Linked DNA regions of Caenorhabditis elegans. The protein of the gene in region 2 interacts with the protein of the main gene of each other region in a pairwise test. Each region holds a gene or a part of one and is shown on either strand. Other genes may lie near its edges.

Region 1 (7,588 bases), on a different chromosome or scaffold from region 2:
AATTCGTTGAGAAAAGCTATTTTCGTAGTCACTTTGCCGAATTCTTCTCTGTCCTGGCTTTTTTTTGTAATATAATATAATTATTTATAGATGAAAGTATAAAAAACTTGATGGAAATGCAAATACATAATATAAAAAAAATATGCGTACAAAATGACATTTTAAAAATATTCGAAAAACAAAAGACAAAGCACAGAGTGTTGCTATTATCCATAACCGGAATTGAAAGTTCACGGGAAAGAAAGAAAAGTCCAGAGACTAGACATATGTTTCTTGACGGTAAATTGGGCGTAGTATATCCGGATCTGAAAATTGAAAAGAAAACATAGAAAAAGTTATCGAAAAGTGTTAGAGTTAAGTGATGTGAACGTGTTGGTGAGAGCAAGGTGAGAGCAAAACTCTCATTTTTCATTTGTCCTTTTTTCGCATAAATGACAAAAATCCTTTCTTTTTCTTCTTTTTCTCATCTTTTGTAGGCTTCTGAAATAAAAAACGGTGTAAAATAAGTGCTTGATTAGTCCCAAAAGCAGAGAAGTTAGCAAATATTTCAATCTTATTTGAAGGTAGAGTAGAGTCAGTGGGGTTTTGCCCAAAATAACAGAAAACAGTTTATATATAGAGAATACAACTGTAAAAAGTTTAATTTTTTCATTGAATTTTTTTAAAATTTTTCAGAAATTGTTAAAATATCAAAAAAAAACTTCTAATTTGAAAAAAAACATTATTAAAAATTTAATATATTACTTTATAGTTTTTCTGTTATTTATGGCAAGAAACCTCATTCTTTTTTAAGTTTGAAACATTTGAAAAACTATTTGCTTCCAAAAATTCTTACTTCTTCTTCAGACGCTGTAGTGCACGATCGAGACGTTGTATTGCCTAAATGTTACAACTCAGTTATTGATTAGTTAGCTGATGCGCTCGAAAAAAAAGTGAAAACACAAATAGACACCACGTAGTTACAAATATACCTTCACTTGTTCCTTGAGTCGACGAAAATCGCGTCATTTTAACTTTTTCAGGGTACTCTGTCGAAATTGACATCGGAGAAGGGTGATCGCCTGTACACAAAGAGTTAGAAAATCTGTGAAAGTTATAAAAAGCTTTGAAGCCACCACACACATGCTACACAGAAAGAATAAGGAAAATAAACCTACAATCGAACACAACTGACTGGCTCATGTACGACGTATTGACGCTTTCTTCGGAAGTTCGGACTGGAAATATGGAAAATAGGCATTCAAATAATTTAAAACACTGGAAAACAAAGCGATAGAAAACAGGCGCATCGATAAAATGTGAAGGAGCAACCACATAAAAATTACCATTATTCGGGGAGATTCCGGCATTCAGGCCGTCGTCAGATGCGCTCAGAGCCGCTTGAGAAAGTTTATGTTCTCGTACTCCTTGCATTAAGGAAACTGTATCTGGAATAATTTTTGAAAATCGGCTGGTTACAACTAGAGAAGCTATTTTTAGACCTTTGTCAGCAATATATTTTCAAAAATATATTTTGTAAGTGGAGCCAAAAAGAACATACTCAAAACAAGTGGCATCCCACAAGTGTTTTGAACCCCAGATTTTCAGTTAAAAACTCGCAACACAACATGGATTTTTTGCAGTGTTTATTTTATTTTATTACGTTTTAAATAAAGGAATTTCAGTTTTCGTTTTCAAAAACGACTTTAAAAATTGCTGTTTTTTTGTTTCAGCTACCTTACCAGCTTCAACCTCATCGTATTGAGAGTAACCACTTCTCGCTGAGACAGGAGCGCTTTGCGAGTTCTTGGCCTTCACCATGTCTACATATTTCTTGATGTCTGCATCAGTTTCTACAGAGAATGGATTCGGCGCATAGATTTGGTGGTACACCTGAGCATGATGCTGAAATTGCCTATCAATGATTCCCTTGCTGGCAGTTCCGATAAGTATTGCTCGGTCAGCGGTCGAGCTCTGTCCGACTGTTCCGTCATTATCAGGCTGAAAGATTACAAAATAATAAATGAATTTTCAAGACGGGATATTTCACTTTAATCAATAGTGCAATGTCTTCATATGTCACACTGTCCAAAATCTGGCTTTGTGGTCCAGCAGAAAGAGTTCCCAGTCTGTTGTTTTCTTTGATAGCTTTTTGTTTTTCTTTAAATTCTTTAGGATTTGAAGACGCAGGACTGAATTGATGAACACTGCTGATTTTGACAGGGGTTCCACTCGCGGATGGAACGTTGACGTCATGAACCCACTGAAATGATTTGAACTTGTGTAAATTTAAAACACTTTAAAATTAATTTTTTCTCCAATGATTTATCATAGATGTTTAATTTGAACTCAATAACCAAATGCGACCGAATTTTATAATGAGACTTCTCAAAAAACTTTAATACATATTTTTATTGCGGATCAAAATTTTCAAAACACAATTAGGCACAGCCTGAATCGATAGTTGGTATTGGAGCAATTTTGAACATTTTCTGACACTACTCCAATATTGAAAAATACATTTTTTTATTGCGTTAGCATAACATGTATTCATAATGTGCATAATGACAACAATCCAAAAATTAGTGACATAGAAATTATCCAAAACAAAAATTCACTAGTAGGGCCCACCCATATCATAGCTATTTGGGTTTTCAAATCTCTGTTTATAGTTTTTAATTTAATGTTTCTTCAAATTTTTTTGTACATTTATATGAAAATAACTGTGTAAACATAATGACACAAACCATCAGAAGTTCATGTACAAATTTTATTTTCGTACTGCAAAAGTTGAAAACAGTTCTTACTTTAGTTATCTTCTTTGGGTTATCTGCTCCATACTCCAAAAATTCAACCTTCTGATATGCATTTGGACTGTTCATCCAACGAACCCGCTCCTGCTCCTTGCGCAGTAAAGCCAGACGATGTGCAGATACACTTTCCAAGTTTGTTTCATCAATTTGTCCATAAGCTGATGTAGTTGGCGGAACAGCAACATCATTGTTGTTCACCATTGACGTAGACATTGCAGATTTGGGCCGCAGTTGTGGTTGACGATAGACGTGCCCGGTTTGAAAATTCTATAATTAGTAGCAATTTTTAGTGAAACAACTGTGAGCAGGGCGAAAAAATTCTGCTCACCGCATGATCCAACACTCTCATCCAAGACTCCCATTCTAATTCTCCGACTCTCCAATCAACTGTTCCATTTCGTTTCAGGGAATTCGCTACAAAAGCATTATAGATGTATTTTAAATTTCAATATATATTGCAGAATCTTACTATTTCGAGAATTTCTGAACGCTCTTTGTATTGCTTTCTCTTCCGGAATGATGAGGTTGTCAAGTCCAGCCCTTGCGGCACGTACCTTACAAAAATATTTTGTTTTTGGAAACTTTGATTATGTATTTTGTATTTGATATGAAATAATATTTCTCATTTATTATAACTTTTCTAAACCTGATGGTCACAAGCAGTGACTAAGTTGCGCATAATTATAGATGTCTCTTCAACGGAATTTCCAACAACAAAACATCCTTCTCCTCTGATCAGCAGAACCTTAAATGTTTTAATCCCATCGTCATTTCATAAAAAATAAGCATTTGGCGATAGAATTGAACTACTGGCGGCAGGGCAGCGTGTAATTTTTAAATATGAGAAACTTCAAAAACCTGAGTTTCGCATGCTATCACAGTGTTGTTGGCTAGAAAAGTGGCATGCTCGATAGTGTCACCGACAACAAGGAATCCTTGATTGCGGAGGAAAAGGACCTGAAACGAAGCATAGAAAAGCGGATAGAAAAGCAGTTCAAAGTAAAGCTAACGCACGTTTTTGTCTCCAAGATTTGCAATAATTTCGTCAAATTGAATATCATCATCACCAATGTCCTGAAAAGAAAATTCAACAATTTTTTTGATTTTATAGTTAAAGTCATGTGAAAGGTTAATGAAAATTTAAACCGTTCGAAGGTCGACGATGAACTTTTCTATATCTACTTTAAGTACTAAAACTACCGATTTACATGATAAACTTTTTCAAATTTTGGCAAAGTACCAAAACTTTGACTGGAAAAAAATCATCAAAAAATAATTTTAAAAAACGGTTGCCGATTTTGCTTCTAGTTTCTTTAACCTTCAGATTTTCAATTTTCTCTCGTTCACACTTAAATTTTTCAGATTATGAAAATAACCACACAAGTGATTGTTTTTCTTCAAATTCAATATTTTTGCTAACCTGATAATCGTGATATCCAACTGGCCCAAGCACCATTGCTTCCTTACATAGAGGCAATAAACCACATTTCATACTAGCCACAGCCGCCACAATTGCCGTGTGCATATGAAGAATGCATCTGACCATTGGGTGAGCTTTGTAAATTGCAGAATGAAGAAGAAACGCAGGCTTAACTTGATGAGTGCAAAAATAAGTCGTTTTTGATTTTAAAGGTACCTGGTTGACTCCAGCTTTCAGTGTCCCGCAATCCAGAATTTTTCCATTTTCATCTATCTTCACGATGGTCGCAGCAGTGATTTCATGGTAGAGAAGACCAAATGGATTCATCAGAAAAGTGTTATCCTCATCGTTGGTTCGATACTAAATCAATTTTGTTAAAATTCTTCTAGAAAGGTAAATATGGTGTTTTTACTTTTGTAGAAGTTTCATAGAAATATAATTTTAATACATTTTTTTAAACACGTCGTTAATGGACCTGCTAGTTAACTCACGTCGGAAAATAAAGTGGTGTGTAACCGGAACACAACACTGAACAAAAAAAATCCCAATTTAAAGCTGATTAATCCTTACATTTTGGCAGCTGTTTCAGAAGTTTCGTATTTTAATAAAGTTGAAATTCATACAATTTCTACACGCGTTGTATTTGCTATATTGTAAAATAAATTTGGTTGATTGCAAAATTTTACTTTAAACCACAGGTTCAAGTTTTAAATTTTTGTGGTAATTTTAAAAAGTCAATACTTCAAGCACCCTACCGAGATTTCGTTATGAATCCCTTGTGACCACTGGAACAGGTCAGCTAGTCGAAACAAGCATGCCAATTTGTTTCTCTGGATACGTTCCGCTTTTGAATACTTCTCGTTTCCACGAAGATCAGCAATTGCAATGGTGTTTCCACCTGAAACATAGATTACATGATTTATCGGAAATTGTCAACTTACAGAAGTTCAAGTTTGTAAAAATATTGCAATTTTGTTTATGCATGGGAATCTTAGATTTTTGATATTATAATACTTTACTAGAAAAACAAAAAAAGTATATCTACTTTTGTGTCACAAGGTTTCAGCATAGCTAAAATTCGTATAGGAAAGTTTTCTGCATTATAACATGTTGTAACTCCTCGTGTGAATAAGCATAAATCGAGTTTCTTTTGTCAAAATAAGGAAAAAAAACCAAGTTATCCGTTTTTCGAATACATTATTCCAAAATATAATACAAACCATATGTGTGAAGGTTGCCAAACGACATGTTTCCTTGTGGAACTGTGAGGTCCGAAAGTTTCTGGAGTACTTGCAAGTGATCCGGATCCGTACGTGCTGTATCACACTCCTAGATGTAAAATGTTTTGTACAAAATTACATTTATTGAAACAAAATAACGAGAAAAAAGACAAATTACAAACCTGACGAATAACTTCTTCTAGCTCGTGGCAGAATGATTTTGATTCAAGTATCTGTTGCACTCTTTTCCGTCTCTCCATCTCTGACAAATCCTCCTAAAATAGAGCATTTCTCATCCATCTTTTAAGCTGATTAAAGAGCGAGCACTCCTTTCTCTTCTTCTCTTGCATTTTCCATTCAATTTCCCAAGTCTTTTCAAAAAATGACACTGCGCTAATAATGGCAGGTTTCATTAATTGAAGTTCTTGGAAAAAGAGAAAAAAGAGAGCTGAGGAGGGAAAACTTGATGTGCTCTAGTTTTTTTTACGGAAAAACTTGGAGCAGCACTTACTTTGATTACTGCCGGTCTTTGCAAATCTTTGATATATTCAGGGTCATCTGGGTCTCGATAGTATGGACGTTCCCGTTCCTTCTCTTTTCTTCCAATCATCTGAAACTTTATTGAAGTTTAAGAAAATTGAAAATGAGATTGAAATATTGAAATTCAAGAAAAAATCACAAAGTTTAGAAAAGTAAACATTACTTTGCAAATATGAAAATGGGATGTAGTGTACAAATATGAATTTAAAAATAAAAATAATAAAATTATTCTAAATGTGCGATGATTTTCTGAATTATGTTTAAATTCCCGCGCAAATGGATGGCCTACTTTTGATATTGTCTTGTTTTCCTGTTTCATTATTGGTCTTTTAACGTTAAATTTCTGTTTGTCAAATTTTTAGACATTTTTTCAAGATGAAAAACTGTTATAAAGGTGTTAACAGTTGAACTTACTAAAGATTGAAATATCAAATTAAGTAAAAAAGGGTTCACAAGTTATCGGAAACTGTATTTACAAATAAGGATTTTTTAAGATATGCTAAATCGGATGTATACAATTTCATGAAAATAATTTGACATTTCTACTAGCACACAGCTTACACAAAGCTGTACTAAAAAGCATGAATTGATCGAAAAATAGTTCATTCAGCGTGAGACTATTCGATGGCGAGCCATCTGATTTGTATACAAAATTTGGTTATTGCATACCTCCTGCGTTATATAACATTTGCTCTACGGGTGGCACACTTGCCATGAGAAAGTGTATACATCTAATTACCTATGAAGCATGGCAAACGGTAATATTGAAAAATATTAATTGGAAATGTGAATTTGACCCTAAAATGTTTGTGGTTTTTGCGTCAGTCAAATTCTCCAACACACTACTTTTGTCTGCGATGGAAGCGATAAACGGCAAACAAGAATGAGAACCTTAAGGTATCCGCCTGTTGCGATAAAGTTCTTCTTATGTCAAATCTAATTTAAGGAATGAGGGAAGAAAAGGAAGACCGAAAAGAAACTCAAGTCTACATGTACTCTATTTTGGAGAAAGATAGAAAGAGGCGCCGAGCAGAAAACCCAAGACATTTTATTCAGGATGGTTAATCACAATGAAAAGAAAATGGAATAAATAGAATGCACTTGTCCGAGTGGTGCACAAGTAGGGTGGCTCAAATGAAAAAGAACGGTGAAGCAAAATGGAAGTGGAAATTTTCGAATTGAGCTAGGCCAATTAGTTTTGTGAGATTTCATTACTTTTTGGGAAAGTAACCATTTTTCCGCAAACAGAGTTTTATAACTCAAAATAAATTTGTCAAAATTTAAAAATCGGTTTGAACTTTTCAGATTAATTATTCCGATAAGATAATATTGCAGCACTACTACGAAATGCTGAAACAATATTTCTATTTAAAAATTCTAAGCTTTTTCAATAATTTGCGGTCAATGCAATTATTTATAATACCACTTACTGTAAAATTCTTAGTCTGAAATTTGAAATGCTTTAACTTTCAGAAACTTGAAATACTCTTCCAAAAAAACCCCAAACTGGTGTTTAACCAATGCGGCAACAATAGAAGAAACATGCCGAATTGCGATTAAATCTTATATCAAACACACACGCACACACACCTATGGTGACGATAGTAAAACAAACT
Region 2 (4,623 bases):
ATTTACAACTAAAAGAATTTAGACCTGAATGTCAAAACGCCAGTTTTGCATCTCTATTTCAATAACAATCCTCATCATCATTATGCCCTTTCAACTTCCATTTTCGGACTTACTGTCAAAACTAGTACTGGTTCAGGGTACTTGACCGAAAAATGGCATTGTTTTGACAAGGACGCAAATAGGCAGGCAACGACACCAGTAAAGAAAAAAAACGAAAAAAAAACTTCAGGATTCAACTTTTGCTGCTAACTCCTTGTCTTCTCCGAGAATTTAGTTCAAACAGGGATTAAGCAGAGAAAGTGTAGGGCGAGAATAAGAAGGATGCGAAAAAGTAAGAAGAAGAATAGAAACGAAACAGAAAAGAATGGAAGAAGCCACTATGAGATTGAATTAACGAAATTGAATCGAATCTGTGGGGGCATCACCAAGTCTTCTCTTTCCGAAATGGAATGAAGAGGAGCCAAAAACAATAGTCAAGTTTACTGCTACTTGTCACATGGATATTGGTGGGCTCCGATGACAAGTGAGCATGATATATGCATTTTCTCAAGGCGGACATATGGATGAAAAATGATCTGGGAAGGCAGATCCGTTGAGAAAGAATTTTCAAATTTTAGGGTGCACTTTTTACACATGCAAAGAATGTAATCCACTCCAATTTTGGTGAGAGAGGTGAATGAACCATTGTGTCAGGTAAGAGAGAAAGAGAGAGGGACAACGGAAGGAGAAAGATGCAAAATGAGCGGAATGGGACTGTGTTTTGTCACGAAATAGTGTTATGAAGCAGGAGACGTAGAGGGTACAGTCCTCCATTTGAGGACATACCAAGATTGCGTAAGAGGGTAGACGAGGACTGTGAGGTAGAAAACAGGTAAGTGAGTGTGATGAGAAGGTAATAGGGGATATAAGAGATCGCAGACAAAGACAGATGGAGCTATTGAAGCGGTGGAAATAAGAAATAAGAAATTCTTAAGACAGGTGCCGAAAAAGGCTACCAGGTGGCTGGATTTTACGGAGATTCGCGAGCAAGTAAAACCGTGAAGCAGCGGTTTTCTTTTATGATAATAAGCGTAAAATAGTTGAACATGGAGAAAAGAGGTTACCTTGATATGTACCATTTTCGAGCAAGTCACCACTGTCGAGAAGCTTATTAAAATCATCTACAGACACAAATCGATAGTGTTCTCCATCAACTTCACCTTCTCGTGGAGGTCGAGTTGTGTCTGAAAATGGTCACTTTGAAATTGAAATTTGTTTTAACTTCAATACTTGTCCCTCCATAATAATCTTTTAGATCAATAACAGGAAGAGATGTTCGTTTGGAAAGAAATGCAGGTTTTAGTGAATGTTTTGGTAAAGGCGAACCGAACATTTTAACACTTCCACTGGTGGCCAGCTTCGGACCCTCCCCCACCTTGTGATGATCCCCTAGATCCTAAATCACCTAATTTAATGGGGCGGATGTCTAGGTTTCTCTAGATCACACACTATTTCATCTCAATGATACTCCCTGTGGGCAGCTGCTAGTGCCATTGAAAACAATGAGGTTTTGAGGAATGAAACTTATAAGTATTAAATCCAATCTAGTTAGTTTCAGATCAACTTTTTTTGTAACTCACAAGGAACTGTCTTCTGATATAAATTTTCTCGAATGATAGTCTGAAGTTCACCAGATGATTTTCTATCGGCCAGTAGTTCACAAATATCATCGGTAATTGCTCCAGCTGGTAGAATTTCAATCGCAATTTGATCATGTTCTCTCATCATATCTTCCAATATCCTATTCACTTCAGATCTTACCATTCCTGATACTTTTCTGAAAATTTAAATAATAAAAAAAGAAATGTTCTAGAAAACCTACATGTTCTCAATTGTTAAAAGAATATCGTTAGGATGAACAATTCCAATTAAATCATCACGTCGCACAATATCAATCAGAATGAGTCGTCCAATTGAGGCTCCGCCATGTACTGTAAACGGGGTGATGACGTCTCGAGATGAAGAGTTTCCAGAGTCCGAATGGCAAGAAGATGTCGTGGAAATATGATGATGTTCACTGGCAATACGGATCAGTCGACGAGCAGCAAGTCCGGATGGCACTAGAATATTAAAAATTATTTTCAGTCTTTTTTTGGCTATTTCCTGATTTTTGGTTTTTTTTTCAAAAATGATCTTTCTTGACTTACAATGATTTTTTTTGCTTTAGTTGTTAAATTTTTATTCGGAACCCAAACAAAAAAAAATTTTAAGACAGTCTTGATGAATATTAAAAAATTAGGTATTAACGTGTGCTCCTACTGTGTTTCTTTTGACAGTGAAAGTATTCAACTAGTAAAATTTAGGTTACATTTTTATCTTTAGAAATAATCGAAATATGAAATCTCAGAGTATAGAAATGTAGGTGTAATACTAATAGGGAGCATATTGTATTATATCTATCTATGTTTGAAAAAAAAACTCACTAAAGAATTAAAAACTTTTCAACCACACAATAACTAAAAGCTCTGTTTTATATTTCACTGTAAACTGAACTTTGAAATGCATGGAATATTCAAACTTTAAACTTCTTCGTTAAACTCAATATCTTTCTTGAAGGTCATAAATGATTGAATAACTCACGTTTGTCAGTGGAATCTAGTGAAGTGCTTGGGCTGCTCGTGCAATCGAGCATTTCTTGAAGAGTGGCCTGAAAACTTGGGATAGTGAGGGGAGGAATTCAGAAGGACGACGAACAAGTGGTTGGGAAGAGCCTTCCACTACTTCACTAATCCTTTTTTCTTGCGAATAAACAATGGGAAGTGGTTTTGAAATGAGTTTTATTTTGGGGTGGAGCCGTTAGACATGAAACAAATCAAAACAAACCTGAAGCTTTTCAATTTCCAATGTGAAATCATCCTTTTCTTCATCTCCAATTTTCAGGCAAAGTTCTGAAATTAATAATCTTGATGTTTATGGACTAAACTCTCAATCTCACCAGCTGTTTTGTCGGTCATCTTTTTAGTCGTGGGTTCATTAAGAGAATGTCGAGTTGGAATGTCTTCTCTGCAACGAAAATGAATTACTATCTTCAAAGTTCGGAATGGCCCATGAGAAAGGGGACCGCATAAATTTTGCGAAAACAAATAAATATTTATTACGAAACAACCGTTTGTGTGTCGGCGACCTCAAGAGAACCCGAAGGAGAGCAAGGGACAAGCAAAAGATGAGAAAGAGTGCAGTGTGAATATGAATAAGGCGCTGTCGAAATGACAAATTAATAATGAGTCAGAGATTGGAAATTGGAAGAAGAATAAATAAGAAGAAGTGCGCGCAGATTTTTCAGAAAGTTTAGCACTGTCAGGTGACAACAAGATATTTGCGCAAAATGTATTGAAAAGTATAGCGCAAAACGAGCAAGAAAAACCGAAAAATGAAGTCTTCGACTAAAAAAATTTCGCGCGCCCTATTTTGAACTCAATTTGAACAGAAACAAAACAAATCGTGTAATGTTTTGGAAGTTCGAAGATATTATTGATAAAAGAAAAAAATGAAAAAAGCGAAAAAAAATTGAATTGTTCCATGTAGTGTCTTAAAGAGGTATGTGGAAGACTAGCAGGGATGCAATACTGTTTATCGATCGACTAAACCGAGGGGCAACTCTAACACGCGTGCAGTGTACCCACCACCATTTGGCCTACATGAATTGCGGGAAATGTAGTGTGTTGTATATATTTTAGTGCGGTCACACCTGTTGTTTTCTACGGGTATCACTCAATAAATTTTGTTACTAAAAGAGACATGAAAAATATTTAAACTCTATTTTTTAGTAAAAACTGGTGTTTCTAATAAAAATTCAACTAAATAATATAAGTAAGTTTTCAATACATATTTATAATGAATTAGATAAAATTGAAATATACATGTTAACTTAATAATTTTAGAGTCATGATTACTGTAGCACTTTAAAACTTTCTAGTAATAAATTAGAAAATTTAGACAATATTTTGAAAAGAATAACATTACTTTAGCGAAAATACTTGCCACTTTCGAAAATTTGAAATTCGTCAAAAATCCCACTTTCGTTCGAAAAGCCGTGAGTCATTGCACCTGGGAAACTCGATTCCCTTCTTTCTTAATGTTGGAAAATTTTTGAATTTAAAAATAAAATACAACTATTAGGAGCTATAGTTTCAGGACAGTCGGAAAATTTTCAATTTGGTCCAGAAGGTTCGAGTTGACCGTCGGCAAGCCTAGAGCATTTTCTTGCGAGGCGCAAAAAAGCTGAATGTGATATTTGGAGAACAAACATACACTTTGCCGTTACGGCACGCACTTTTGCTTCTCGCCGATAATATGGTGAACGGTTTTCTCATAAAGCGTTAAATCCTCTGCGGATAGAAAAAGAAAGGGAGACAGGTCAATTTTGTAACATACTAATGGTAAACGCACCGAGACGACAGCGCTGGTCAGGCTCATATAATTCGTCAAGTTCTTCTTCTTCTTCTCCGATTTCTACACAAACTTCCGAAAGTTTTCAACATCTGCCACGCATCTGGCATGTTGTGCTGCAGCAGTCACCACAGAATCACAGTGATGACAGCGACTTTAGAAACAAAAATGAAGGACAAGAAGTAGAAGAAGGGG

Evidence for each region. The genes of interacting proteins can lie anywhere in the genome.
Region 1: the proteins of magi-1 (region 2) and add-1 interact in a two-hybrid assay, tested with the Caenorhabditis elegans proteins (2 studies listed by BioGRID).

The regions. Positions count from the first base shown.
Region 1 is NC_003284.9:4,853,995-4,861,582, forward strand, and holds add-1 (Adducin-related protein 1), read right to left. Parts: upstream 6,050-7,588; 5' UTR 6,043-6,049; coding exon 5,944-6,042; intron 5,708-5,943; coding exon 5,615-5,707; intron 5,542-5,614; coding exon 5,433-5,541; intron 5,111-5,432; coding exon 4,968-5,110; intron 4,849-4,967; exon of another isoform or gene 4,699-4,848; intron 4,573-4,698; coding exon 4,429-4,572; intron 4,381-4,428; coding exon 4,213-4,380; intron 3,867-4,212; coding exon 3,807-3,866; intron 3,750-3,806; coding exon 3,651-3,749; intron 3,347-3,650; coding exon 3,262-3,346; intron 3,207-3,261; coding exon 3,121-3,206; intron 3,060-3,120; coding exon 2,787-3,059; intron 2,243-2,786; coding exon 2,030-2,242; intron 1,981-2,029; coding exon 1,722-1,980; intron 1,428-1,721; coding exon 1,326-1,427; intron 1,218-1,325; coding exon 1,158-1,217; intron 1,062-1,157; coding exon 972-1,061; coding exon of another isoform or gene 898-971; intron 880-897; coding exon 836-879; intron 481-835; coding exon 409-480; and 4 more. UniProt on the Caenorhabditis elegans protein: Membrane-cytoskeleton-associated protein that promotes the assembly of the spectrin-actin network. Plays a role in time-dependent memmory loss and the retention of conditioned behavior over time.
Region 2 is NC_003282.8:11,713,460-11,718,082, reverse strand, and holds the start of magi-1 (Guanylate kinase), read right to left. Parts: upstream 3,045-4,623; 5' UTR 2,994-3,044; coding exon 2,975-2,993; intron 2,928-2,974; coding exon 2,863-2,927; intron 2,687-2,862; coding exon 2,620-2,686; intron 2,100-2,619; coding exon 1,862-2,099; intron 1,817-1,861; coding exon 1,620-1,816; intron 1,559-1,619; exon of another isoform or gene 1,382-1,558; intron 1,224-1,381; coding exon 1,104-1,223; intron 865-1,103; exon of another isoform or gene 720-864; intron 1-719.